Linked DNA regions of Saccharomyces cerevisiae S288C. Changing the gene in region 2 together with the main gene of any one other region gives a genetic interaction. Each region holds a gene or a part of one and is shown on either strand. Other genes may lie near its edges.

Region 1 (5,173 bases), on a different chromosome or scaffold from region 2:
GCGTTGAAAGATCGTGCAAAGGTTGAAAAATGGAAGTTGCACCGGCCTTATCGACTACTCAGTCGGACGTGGCGTTTCAGAAGGTGGAGACACATGAAATTGACAGGTCTTCATACTTGGGGCCATGTTATAATAGCGATGAGCTTATGCAACTTATCTCGGCTTATTACAATGTCGAGCCTCTCGTGGGTTATCTGGAACAGCACCCGGAGTACCAAAACGTGACCTTGCAGTTTCCTGACGATTTAATCAAGGACTCCTCGTTGATAGTAAGGCTGCTGCAATCGAAATTTCCCCATGGGAAGATAAAGTTTTGGGTTTTAGCTGACACAGCGTACAGTGCATGCTGTGTAGACGAGGTCGCTGCTGAACACGTACATGCAGAAGTCGTGGTACATTTTGGTGACGCATGTTTGAACGCCATCCAAAACTTGCCCGTGGTTTACTCATTCGGAACTCCATTTTTGGATTTGGCACTGGTGGTGGAGAACTTTCAGAGGGCATTCCCAGACTTATCCTCCAAAATTTGTTTGATGGCAAACGCACCCTTCTCTAAGCATTTGTCACAGCTGTACAATATTTTGAAGGGCGACCTGCACTACACAAATATCATATATTCCCAAGTGAACACCTCTGCGGTAGAAGAAAAATTCGTAACCATACTTGACACCTTTCACGTTCCCGAAGACGTAGACCAGGTGGGTGTGTTCGAAAAAAATAGCGTGCTGTTTGGTCAGCACGACAAAGCAGACAACATCTCGCCCGAGGACTATCATCTTTTCCATTTGACCACCCCACAGGATCCGAGATTACTGTATTTGTCTACTGTGTTTCAATCTGTTCATATTTTCGATCCGGCTTTACCTGGCATGGTAACGGGGCCATTTCCCTCTCTAATGAGGCGTTACAAGTACATGCATGTGGCAAGAACAGCGGGATGTATAGGTATTCTGGTCAACACGCTGTCGCTACGTAATACAAGAGAAACTATCAACGAGCTGGTCAAGCTTATCAAAACTCGTGAGAAAAAACACTATTTATTTGTTGTCGGAAAGCCAAATGTGGCCAAGCTAGCAAACTTTGAAGATATTGATATTTGGTGCATTCTCGGTTGTAGCCAAAGCGGTATCATCGTTGATCAATTCAACGAGTTTTACAAGCCCATTATTACACCTTATGAATTAAACTTGGCCTTGAGCGAAGAGGTCACATGGACCGGGAAATGGGTTGTGGACTTCAGAGACGCCATTGATGAAATCGAGCAGAATTTGGGCGGACAAGATACCATCTCTGCCAGCACAACTTCCGATGAACCGGAGTTTGATGTAGTTAGGGGAAGATATACTAGCACATCAAGACCACTGCGAGCGCTAACGCACCTGGAGTTAGAGGCGGCCGACGACGACGATTCCAAACAACTGACTACAAGACATACCGCCTCAGGTGCCGTCATTAAAGGTACTGTATCCACTTCAGCATCAGCACTGCAGAATCGTTCGTGGAAAGGTCTAGGAAGCGATTTCGACTCTACTGAGGTTGATAATACTGGAGCGGATATCGAAGAAGGTATTTCCGGTGTCGCACGTGGTTATGGATTTGATCGCGAAGACGCTATGAAAAAGGAAAACAAATGACTCTTATAATTTGTTTCCCTCGACTTCTCTATTTAAATCCAAGATTTTAACTAATAAACTATTTAATAATAAAACAATTAACTCTTTATATGGAAGCCTTGGAAATTAGCCGCCAAAATGGGATATACATTCCGTGCGAAGTGACCGCGTGGAAGGCCGGGTATCATCTTAAAAATCACTAGTTTCTTTTTTAGCGGAATGCAATAAAGGTGCTTTGTGCTGGTGTGGTTTACACGGAACATCTAGTAGCTAAAACTTGGTAACTCAATGGTGATCAGAATCCATAGAAGCATTTTTATTTCTTAAAATGGGTGCTGCTCCTTCCAAAATTGTGGATGGTCTTTTAGAAGATACAAATTGTATGTACACTTCGGAGTGAGGAAAAGAAAGAAAGGGGAAATTAACCGATTTTACTAACACTGACACTTTGAACAGTTGATAGAGATGAAATTGAAAGGTTAAGGAAGAGATTCATGAAATTAGATAGAGATAGCTCAGGGTCTATTGATAAAAATGAATTTATGAGCATTCCTGGCGTTTCGTCAAACCCTCTTGCTGGACGTATAATGGAGGTTTTCGATGCTGATAATAGTGGGGACGTGGATTTTCAAGAGTTCATCACAGGATTATCCATTTTCAGTGGGCGTGGGTCCAAGGACGAAAAGTTAAGATTCGCCTTCAAAATCTACGACATTGACAAGGACGGTTTCATATCCAATGGTGAGTTGTTCATCGTGTTGAAGATTATGGTAGGTTCTAATCTGGACGATGAACAGCTGCAACAGATAGTAGATAGGACGATAGTGGAAAACGATAGCGACGGCGACGGACGTTTAAGTTTCGAGGAGTTTAAGAATGCTATCGAAACCACAGAAGTGGCCAAGAGTCTGACATTGCAATACGATGTGTAAGACTAGGGGACACTTCATTCATTTATGGTATGCCAATATTTTTAAGAAAAGAAGAATAATACGCGATATTGTTTTTTAAGGAAGGAACGCACACTCGCCCAGTTAGAGTGCTGATGATATATACATATATATATGTATATGTAACAAACAATAAGAAAGCAATGATACAACATAGAGATGAGAGAGAGCATATATGTCAGCGACGAGATATACCAAGATGGAAGCTGATCTCATGTAATAACTGCGGGGTGTACTTTGATAATTTTTGGGATTCCATTGTTATTAATAGCTTTGATATCAGACATACAGAATACCAGAGATTTTCCTCAAAAATATGGCAATGCACAAAGGGGGATCAATAGTTATATAAATTAAGATTATTACTTCTTCTTTGTTTTATGTGTTGTTATTCACTATCCCACTGCATTATCAATCCTTACATATCAGCTTCCGTTAAACCCGATGACTATCTCTCAATCATCATACTATCTTCTTACACCGTATATGATAATTACCAGCAATACTAATGCTAGGAGACAGACCATCTTTGATTCCTATTCCAATAAAGTTAAACTGTGATATTGGTTTATTGGATAAGTTCATATCCTAAAACGTGTTGACAACACTTCGGGAGTTTCCAGTAAGTAAAATTTGTATGGAGGGTTGGCCGAGTGGTCTAAGGCGGCAGACTTAAGATCTGTTGGACGGTTGTCCGCGCGAGTTCGAACCTCGCATCCTTCAGTAATTTTTTTTTTTAATTTATTTTTGTGTTGCAAGCGTTGATCCTTTCCATTATGCAGCCATAAGAGGAGGCTGGATATGAATTATTTATTACCAATATAAGGAGCATGTACCGTTGATTTTGAAGAGCCAATTGCTCCAAATTTTGGATTTTGTGTTCGAAAAAGGGAAGATTGCTCCAAACGCAAATAAGGAGGAAACCCGCTGATTGCACTCTTGGAAAAATAAAAATAAAAAGTGGTCTCAGAATTGTTTCAAAAGTGGCACTGACACAATATTTACAGGCGTTGATAGCTTCTTGTTTTAACAATACGATTTAATCTCGGAGTAGTTAAGCCAAAGAATACGTGTTATCCGTAAGAGGCTTATTGCACGTAATCCCCAGTATAAATTATCCGCAAATCGAAGACAAATGTTTAAGAAATACAAAAATCAAGACTTGGACATGGCATTTTGGTGGAAGAAAAACCCCAAGACCCCTTCCGATTATGCCAGGTTGATCATCGAACAACTAAATAAATTCAGCTCACCCTCGCTGACTCAGGATAACAAACGAAAGGTACAAGAAGAGTGCACAAAATATCTAATTGGCACTAAACATTTTATTGTCGGTGATACGGATCCTCACCCAACTCCGGAAGCCATTGACGAGCTTTATACTGCCATGCATCGTGCCGACGTGTTCTATGAACTGCTACTTCATTTTGTGGATTTGGAATTCGAAGCAAGGAGAGAATGCATGCTTATATTCTCTATATGCCTTGGATACTCTAAGGATAATAAATTCGTCACAGTAGATTATTTAGTCTCGCAACCAAAGACCATATCTTTAATGTTGAGGACTGCGGAAGTTGCTCTACAACAAAAGGGTTGCCAAGATATCTTTTTAACGGTAGGGAATATGATTATTGAATGTATCAAATACGAACAACTTTGTAGGATTATATTAAAGGACCCTCAACTATGGAAATTCTTTGAGTTTGCGAAACTGGGTAATTTCGAAATCAGTACGGAATCTTTACAAATATTAAGTGCCGCATTTACTGCACATCCTAAATTAGTGTCTAAGGAATTCTTCAGTAATGAGATTAATATCATAAGATTCATTAAATGTATTAACAAGTTAATGGCTCATGGAAGCTACGTAACGAAAAGGCAGAGCACTAAACTGTTGGCCTCATTAATTGTGATAAGATCTAACAACGCGTTGATGAATATATATATCAACTCCCCAGAAAACTTAAAGCTCATAATGACTTTAATGACTGACAAATCTAAAAACTTACAACTTGAAGCTTTCAACGTATTCAAGGTGATGGTAGCAAACCCAAGGAAGTCAAAACCTGTTTTTGACATTCTTGTTAAAAACAGAGATAAACTATTGACGTATTTTAAAACTTTCGGTTTAGATTCTCAGGATTCTACTTTTCTTGATGAAAGAGAATTCATCGTTCAAGAAATTGATTCCTTGCCGCGTATAATTTCGTCCACAACAGAAGTTTCTAATAATAATGCATCCTCAAGTAACGTCGCCAGTATAACTTCTCCATCATCAGTAATGAACAATCAATCATCCATCTTAACACATTCAACTTCACCTGATTCAAGATAACTATAAAACTTGGTTCACTTTATAAAAAATGGAAAGTTCTCAGGCAGTGGGTCGTGACATGAATATTCAAAAGTAAAATTATATATAGGAAAGTGTTTATTTGCATAAAAAGGGAAAAATAGTTCAGACTTTTGTATTTTTACGTATTTATACAAAAAAAGGTTGGTACCGGAGGCTGAGGAAGCCAGTACAGTTGGATCCGGTACATGGAATTGAGCAATCAACCGTAAATATGAGCGCTTTCTCAAGATATTAAATTATTATAAAACAATTTA
Region 2 (7,738 bases):
AGTCAAGATATTTTCTTGAATCAGGCGCCTTAGACCGCTCGGCCAAACAACCACTTATTTGTTGTAAAAGTTATACGAAAAGAACCTTTTAATGAATGTTTTTTTTAACATTCTAGCCAATTTCCAACGTTTATTTGCGTATACTCAACCTATACTATGGCGGAATTCACTCCTTTCAGTAACCTTTTTATATTTTACGTACTACTGTGTCGCTGAGTTCTTTATATCTATACTTCCTTATATTTTCTGTATTTTTTCAAAGCTGTGTGCTGGCGATAAATCCATAAATCTCCAATCTCCAGCTTCATGTGGCTTTCTGGCACTTACAAAGCTTGGGCCCCTTGGTTCTAACATCAAGTGACCCATATTTTTCAAAAAGGACCCCTTATTATATATGTTTTCCTCCTTGACCACACGATGGAATACAGGGTTTTTTTTCGATCCAATACCTTTCAAAAATTCCCTTGTTGTTTGCTGATTACCTGCCATAAATATGTGATAAGTAAACAGTATTGCCGGATACCATAAGGTTAGCCCTGCATAGCAAAGTAACAATATTGCAACGGGACAATCGCGAGGCCCCCCTGATTCCCGTGCAATATGGATGGCACAATTAGTTAATAATATGACGGACGAAAGTATTGCACCTAACAGGAATATTAAAAAGAACCGGTAGTTCCTTTTTCCTATGCAATTATTGACCCATATGCAATGGTGGTCATGAACCATTACGCAGACGTTACATGTGGAACAGTGAGAAGACCGAGGTGGTCTCCATATCCTACATGATGGACAATACTTGATAGTAATGTCTTTTGAAATTGAAGAATGTGTTGGTAGTGTTATCAAGTTGTAATATTCTTGCGGGATCTGATAATTATTTCTTAGTTGACTTAAATGAATATTTCTCGGAAGAACGCCAGGATCACTAGTGGCTGTTCTGATAAAGGATGCTAGCGTTATGACCCAAAAATAATAGAAGAAAATGACCAGCACTTTATAACCATTTTGGGTATGCCACAATTTGTGAGCCTCAAATATGGAGAAGAGAACCATGGGACATACAATAGCAAGGAGAACACCTAACCACAACGGTTTGGCGCCCTTTACTGTCCTGAACCTGCCACCAAGGAAGAATATATAATTCGAGACATTCGGTAACGATATATAACCTTTTCCATCGTTTATATCCTGATCACCCTCCAAGGTAACAAGCCATCGGAAGAACAACTTCGTCAATGAACCTTCTCCTGTATGCTCTTCCTTTGTTATTGAGGTGCTTTCCGATCTTGTCGACCTTCTAGAGACCAAGGCCATTATCTTCCCCGTTTCTCTTCTTGTTACCTTACGCTTTCTTTCCTTTACATTTTTATATTTGCAAACTGTAATCTTGATAAGGCGCTGCTCGCCAATTTCCGAGTAGTTTGACAAAATAAACACAAACTGTTTATGTACAAGAAACTAGGAAAACCAAACAGAGAATCTCAAGCAGAGAAATAAGGTAATGAAAGTAGGTGGCATAGAAGACAGACAACTGGAAGCCTTAAAAAGGGCGGCACTGAAGGCGTGTGAACTCTCCTATAGCCCCTATTCTCACTTCCGTGTCGGTTGTTCCATATTAACAAATAACGATGTTATCTTCACTGGTGCTAATGTCGAGAATGCAAGCTACAGTAATTGTATATGTGCAGAACGATCTGCTATGATACAAGTTCTAATGGCAGGCCATCGCTCAGGATGGAAATGCATGGTCATTTGTGGCGATTCTGAGGACCAGTGTGTTTCCCCTTGCGGCGTTTGCAGGCAGTTTATCAATGAATTTGTGGTCAAGGACTTTCCAATAGTCATGCTTAATTCCACAGGTTCTCGTTCTAAAGTCATGACAATGGGAGAACTGCTGCCCATGGCTTTTGGTCCATCTCATTTAAACTAGCAGCAATCTTTATTTGGCTGCTCCCCGAAAAGAAAGCGAAAATTTTTTACTTATTTTTTTTTTTTTTCATTTTTCATATAAAGAAGAAAAACTGATATTATTATTATTCATCCCAAGAACGCTATTGTGTATATTCCTAGCAAGAAAAAAATAAGCAAAAAAATTGTATAATGAGCACTGCAACTACAACAGTTACTACCTCCGATCAGGCTTCTCATCCTACCAAGATATATTGCTCCGGTTTGCAATGTGGTAGAGAAACTTCGTCCCAAATGAAATGCCCTGTTTGTCTAAAACAAGGCATCGTTTCCATTTTCTGCGACACAAGCTGTTATGAAAACAACTACAAAGCTCACAAAGCTTTGCACAATGCTAAGGACGGCTTGGAAGGTGCTTATGATCCTTTCCCAAAATTCAAATATTCTGGTAAAGTGAAGGCTTCATATCCACTTACCCCAAGAAGGTATGTCCCTGAAGATATTCCTAAACCGGACTGGGCCGCTAATGGGCTACCAGTCAGTGAACAAAGAAATGATAGACTTAACAACATCCCTATATACAAGAAAGATCAAATTAAGAAGATTAGAAAGGCATGTATGTTGGGTAGAGAAGTTCTTGATATTGCCGCTGCCCATGTCAGACCAGGCATCACTACAGATGAATTAGATGAAATCGTCCACAATGAAACAATTAAGAGAGGTGCCTACCCTTCCCCTCTTAATTATTACAACTTTCCTAAATCGCTTTGTACCTCTGTCAATGAAGTTATTTGTCACGGTGTGCCCGATAAAACTGTCTTGAAGGAAGGTGATATTGTCAATTTAGATGTTTCCTTATACTACCAAGGTTATCATGCAGACTTGAATGAGACATATTATGTCGGCGAAAACATTTCTAAGGAAGCTCTTAATACTACTGAGACCTCAAGAGAATGTTTGAAACTAGCCATTAAAATGTGTAAGCCAGGTACCACCTTCCAAGAGTTAGGTGATCATATTGAAAAACACGCTACCGAAAATAAGTGCAGTGTAGTAAGAACTTATTGTGGACATGGTGTTGGTGAATTTTTCCATTGTTCCCCAAATATTCCCCACTACGCCAAGAATAGAACACCTGGTGTTATGAAACCAGGTATGGTTTTCACCATCGAACCTATGATTAATGAAGGTACTTGGAAGGATATGACCTGGCCTGATGACTGGACTTCTACCACCCAAGACGGTAAACTGAGTGCTCAATTTGAACATACACTGTTGGTTACCGAACATGGTGTTGAAATCCTAACAGCCAGGAATAAGAAATCACCAGGTGGCCCAAGACAGAGAATTAAATAGATCTAGGTATTTTTATCTTATACATATAGAAACCAATAAAAAACTTGAACTTGTACTTTCCCGAGTCCGAATTGGTTATTATGAGAAGCTATTTTTTTTTTTTACCTCTTTTTATATGAATCAAGCGTACATAATTTTCTCTATAACTATTCTTCGACATCTATTTGGTCGTTAGGCTCTTTCTGTTCTTGTCCTTCTGCCCATTGTGTTATATCATCGACATACGATAATATGGTTTCTATACTGTCAGGATTATTAGATTCCAAAGGTAAAAATTGAACCATACCGAAATCATCGACGAGGTTGGCTATGCACTGGTTCAGTCTTAGAAATTTAGGGTTGGATGCTTGATTCATTCCTTCCGTTTCCATTAATAACATTGCATCGGGATTCAAAAATCTTTTCAGTTTTTTCTTATTGATGTCGCCTTTTATCAAGTCTAGTTTGCTCAACACATTGATATGGGGTAGTTCCAATAGAATCATCGCAGACATAGCAGATAGTGCACCGCTAAAAAATTTTGAGCTATCTATCACAAATGGCGCTTCCAAAAGATATGTGGCGCAAAGGTTGAAATTCAGTTGTTGAGTTAAATGGCGCACTATGTTCGGTAAGACAGGGATATGCGTGTAGAGTTCAATTTGACCGGGACAGTCAAAGATTAAATATTCATCGTTGAAATCCCCGATCTCTTCGTCAAGCCAGTCTAGATTTTTCAAAAGATATTCGAAGCAATATATTAGCGCACCATTGGGGCCCAAATCCATTTCTTCCATGACATCATCTAAGGAAATTAAATCTCTAATGTCAATAGTAAATTCATACTTGGTAGCTTCTGCGGCAGGGTCTAAATTTACAATATGAGCTCTTCGTCCTACAGTTTGCATATGTGATATAATGGAATTACAAAATGTGCTTTTCCCCGCACCTGCAGGTCCTAATACCATGACACCAACGCGAGACATTTTCCAATGCTGATTACTCTATTTGTACTTGTTAAGTTTTTTTCACGATCAGGATGACTTGCCAACCTCTTAATTATTGATCTTTCTTTTTTGATCTTTCACCTCATCATTTTAGATTTTTTGCAAAATTTTTCTTAGTATTTTTTCAGTTTAGGGACAGCGGGCCAAATTGAATAGCCCTATGTGAACAATTGATGATTCAGAAACATCAATGGCATAAATCAAGCTGAGAAATTCTTGTCATTGCATAGAAGGAAGGTTTGGTGCGTCAGTGAACGGATGAAGCGCATCAAAAAGTAGATATTAGCTGTGATAAACGATGATTTGCATAACGTGCATGCGGCCCGTAGATTCCCTTTATACAGTGTACTCGAATGACCACATTCAGCTGACAGATTGTCCATATTGCCAAGAGACAGTAGACAAATATGTTGAGATAGATAATGTCCTGTTATTCATTGATTTGCTTCTATTAAAAGCAGGTGCATATAGACACTTGGTATTCAATGCTTTGGAATTGCATCTCTCAAAATATCCGAAAAGAAAAGCGCTAAATGATTGCCAGTGTTTGCGTGACTATACGCAAGCTTTGTTATTTAACGTAAAGAACTGGTTTTGTAAATATGACCGGTTAAATCGCCTTTGGCTTCTACTATTATCATTCGAGATTTATTTAACTTGGGTTACTGAGGAGAGTAAATACATCTACTATTTGAACCGTAACAATAATGATGGTAAGCTCATCATGCTTTCAAAAAAATTACCAGAGAGCTTCAAATGGGACTCGGCAATCATGCGCAATACCATTACAAGTAAAGTGTTTACCTGGAGCCCACCAATACAATATCTTTACTTTGCAAGTTATTGTATTCTTGACGTTTCTTTATTCCACACCTTTACCCAGTATTTCATACTGAAAAAGTTGCATTGGAAGCACTATTCCGTTTCTTCAAAGGATGTCATATCATATACGATCTTATTATCGTACGGTGCCAAAATTTTTCCGATATTGATGTTGATATGGCCTTATGATACTCTAATTTCGATGAGTATCATTAAGTGGGTAGCTAATCTCTATATTATTGAATCGTTGAAGATTGTAACTAATCTTTCCTATTGGAATATCATAAAGATTTTTATAAGTGTGTCTTTATTACGATATTTCATGGTTAAGCCAATACTTATAGTTTTCGTGGCAAAGTTTAACTTTTCAGTTATTAAGAATTTAATACATCAGGAGTTTATACTACTACTACAGAAGTCAGGAACTTATTTATTGTTATAAGCAAATAAAAAAATATCCAGTATTACTTGTATCAAAAATCTTATTTTGGCATTTTCACAACAAAATATATAAATATAGAAATAGCACCTTGGGATTTCAATCCAACATCGGACCCTCTAATTCACTCACAGCGTAAGGGTATGCATACGACTCTTCCTCATTGGCAGAATTCACCGTAGAATTGTCTCTTTCGTACTCGCGAATTGAACTCAATGCGATATATTTTGACAACGGCAAATAGTTCTTCTCGAAATCATATAGGAAACATAATGTCACTACTGGAAGCGGGAAAAGGCAAGATGACAAAACCCATCCTCCTTCGAATCCTGCCAGTGTTCCTGTCATTGTTAATTGAAACAATAGCAATCCAACGATGATTCTTCTAAAAATTAATGGCCATACTTTTCCTGTAGAATGGGGCAAATGATCTGTGGCAAAAATCAATTGATATTTATAGACGTAAAACCCAATAATAAAGTACGCCAGCCCTGAAGTCAAAATTTTCGTGCTCATTACACTGTAGATCAACGTTATAATCAAAATCAGAATTGGCTGTGGTAATTGTAGTCCAAAGTTAAATATCGGTGGATTGTAAAGTTCATTCCGTTGCCTAGGTGTCTTAGCCTTGATTTTCACTAGAGGAAAGCCGATCAAACTACCAACTAATAACAACTTAAACGGGAACATACCAATACCTTGCAATATAATCAAATCGACATAGAATAAGGAGAACTCCTTCACAGATGTAGCAAGTTGATAAGCAATTTTGGTGGTATCGCTGAGGTACGCCCAGTAATTAGATGCTGTACCTGCCAATGTGAAAACTAAGAAAAGGTTGACAAAAATATAAAAGAAATTTTTTGAAACAAGTGAGATTTCCTCTTCGCTGTATGATACCAATCCTTGATAAGAAGTCAAATACTCGTAAAAATAGGGGATTCCAAAGTTAAGCAATGTGAAGAGATAGGTTGGTAATAGCCCCGTTACAATGTTAGCGGCCCACTGGTGATCTTTTAGTAGCTGCCCTACGCTTGGCCAGAATTTCGAAAGTGTTTTCAAATTTAGCAATGTGGCTAAGTATGATACAGGAATGACTAAAAACAAACTTGAAAGGCCTATAAATACGGTAGTAGAATAAACTTTTGTTAACCGGTCCTTTCTAGAAAGACAAACATGATCCCACTTGATATCGTGAGGTGCAGGAGCCAATCTGGTTATGAAGTAATGTACTCTAGGATCTAATACCGCCTGAGCTGCCATTTGCGCATTAGCAACAGAATCCATCGTAACGAATGCCGTAGGTGTTGCGGAGTAGTGTTGTTTCCTCGCTTCAATAATTTCAGCATCAATAAATTTTAATTGCTGCTCCAGGTACTCTATGGCATCTACTTCCTTCCCAAAGATACCACGATATCCAATTTTCATTTTTGGTCTCTCTCCAAGAGAAATTTGAGAATATAGTATAGTATCCTCGTCATTATTATTGCTTGATGGAACATTTTCTCCATGTGTAACTGCGCCTGATTGCTCGTTTCCCAATAAATGATAGTTCTCCGAATATGGTTGTCGAGTACGGAGCTCCCTTGGACATTCTGAATATTTTAATTCCAGGTTTTTGAGTATTTTCTTCCGACAATGAAATAGCTTGTTCAAAGGACCCCACTCTCGACAAATAGTGATTGATGAAACGGTGCCGATTTTTAATTGTTCAATTCTGGTCTTTAAGGCTTCCGAATCACGAAGCTCTATCGGGATGCCTGAGAGCCTTATCGTTCTATCAGTAATCGTATTTTGCTTCCCAAGATAAGCTTGCCTAGTACTTACGACGTGCTTTGTTTCCGCAACTGCCATTTTAATTGCTATGAAGGTGAAGAAATATGTGAAGAGAACATACATCCAGAGGTACACATTTGTACGTTCGGGAGCTGAATGATTGTCACCATCGCCACTTCCCTCCACAATTCTTTTTACCAGATGTATTAAAGAACTTTCACTGTCATCATCATCGTTGCCGTCATCAATTTTTCCAGTAAAATGATATCTTACTGGAGATATAACGCACACAGAGAAGAAACAAAAAATAGAAAGTAATTTGATGCACATTTTGAAAAAACTCAAAAACACATACGCATCTAAACCTGCATATTCCAGAATCTGTTCGTCCCGTATCTTATACAACACTGTTAACCAGCCGAATAAACTTGACTGATTCCAGGACGGT

What was found. A genetic interaction does not mean that the proteins touch.
Region 1: mutations in ARV1 (region 2) and CNB1 together harm fitness more than expected from each alone (negative genetic interaction), as found in Saccharomyces cerevisiae (4 studies listed by BioGRID).

Annotation. Positions count from the first base shown.
Region 1 is NC_001143.9:81,006-86,178, forward strand, and holds CNB1 (calcineurin regulatory subunit B), read left to right. Parts: upstream 1-1,941; coding exon 1,942-1,993; intron 1,994-2,069; coding exon 2,070-2,545; downstream 2,546-5,173. Other genes in the region: DPH2 (2-(3-amino-3-carboxypropyl)histidine synthase), read left to right, coding at 30-1,634; HYM1 (Hym1p), read left to right, coding at 3,699-4,898.
Region 2 is NC_001144.5:620,697-628,434, reverse strand, and holds ARV1 (sterol homeostasis protein ARV1), read left to right. Parts: upstream 1-4,551; coding exon 4,552-5,517; downstream 5,518-7,738. Other genes in the region: palmitoyltransferase ERF2, read right to left, coding at 238-1,317; CDD1 (cytidine deaminase), read left to right, coding at 1,505-1,933; methionine aminopeptidase MAP1, read left to right, coding at 2,104-3,267; putative signal sequence-binding GTPase GPN3, read right to left, coding at 3,414-4,232; CSC1 (Csc1p), read right to left, coding at 5,614-7,738. UniProt on the Saccharomyces cerevisiae protein: Mediator of sterol homeostasis involved in sterol uptake, trafficking and distribution into membranes. Also regulates the sphingolipid metabolism. Required for growth during anaerobiosis and sterol uptake.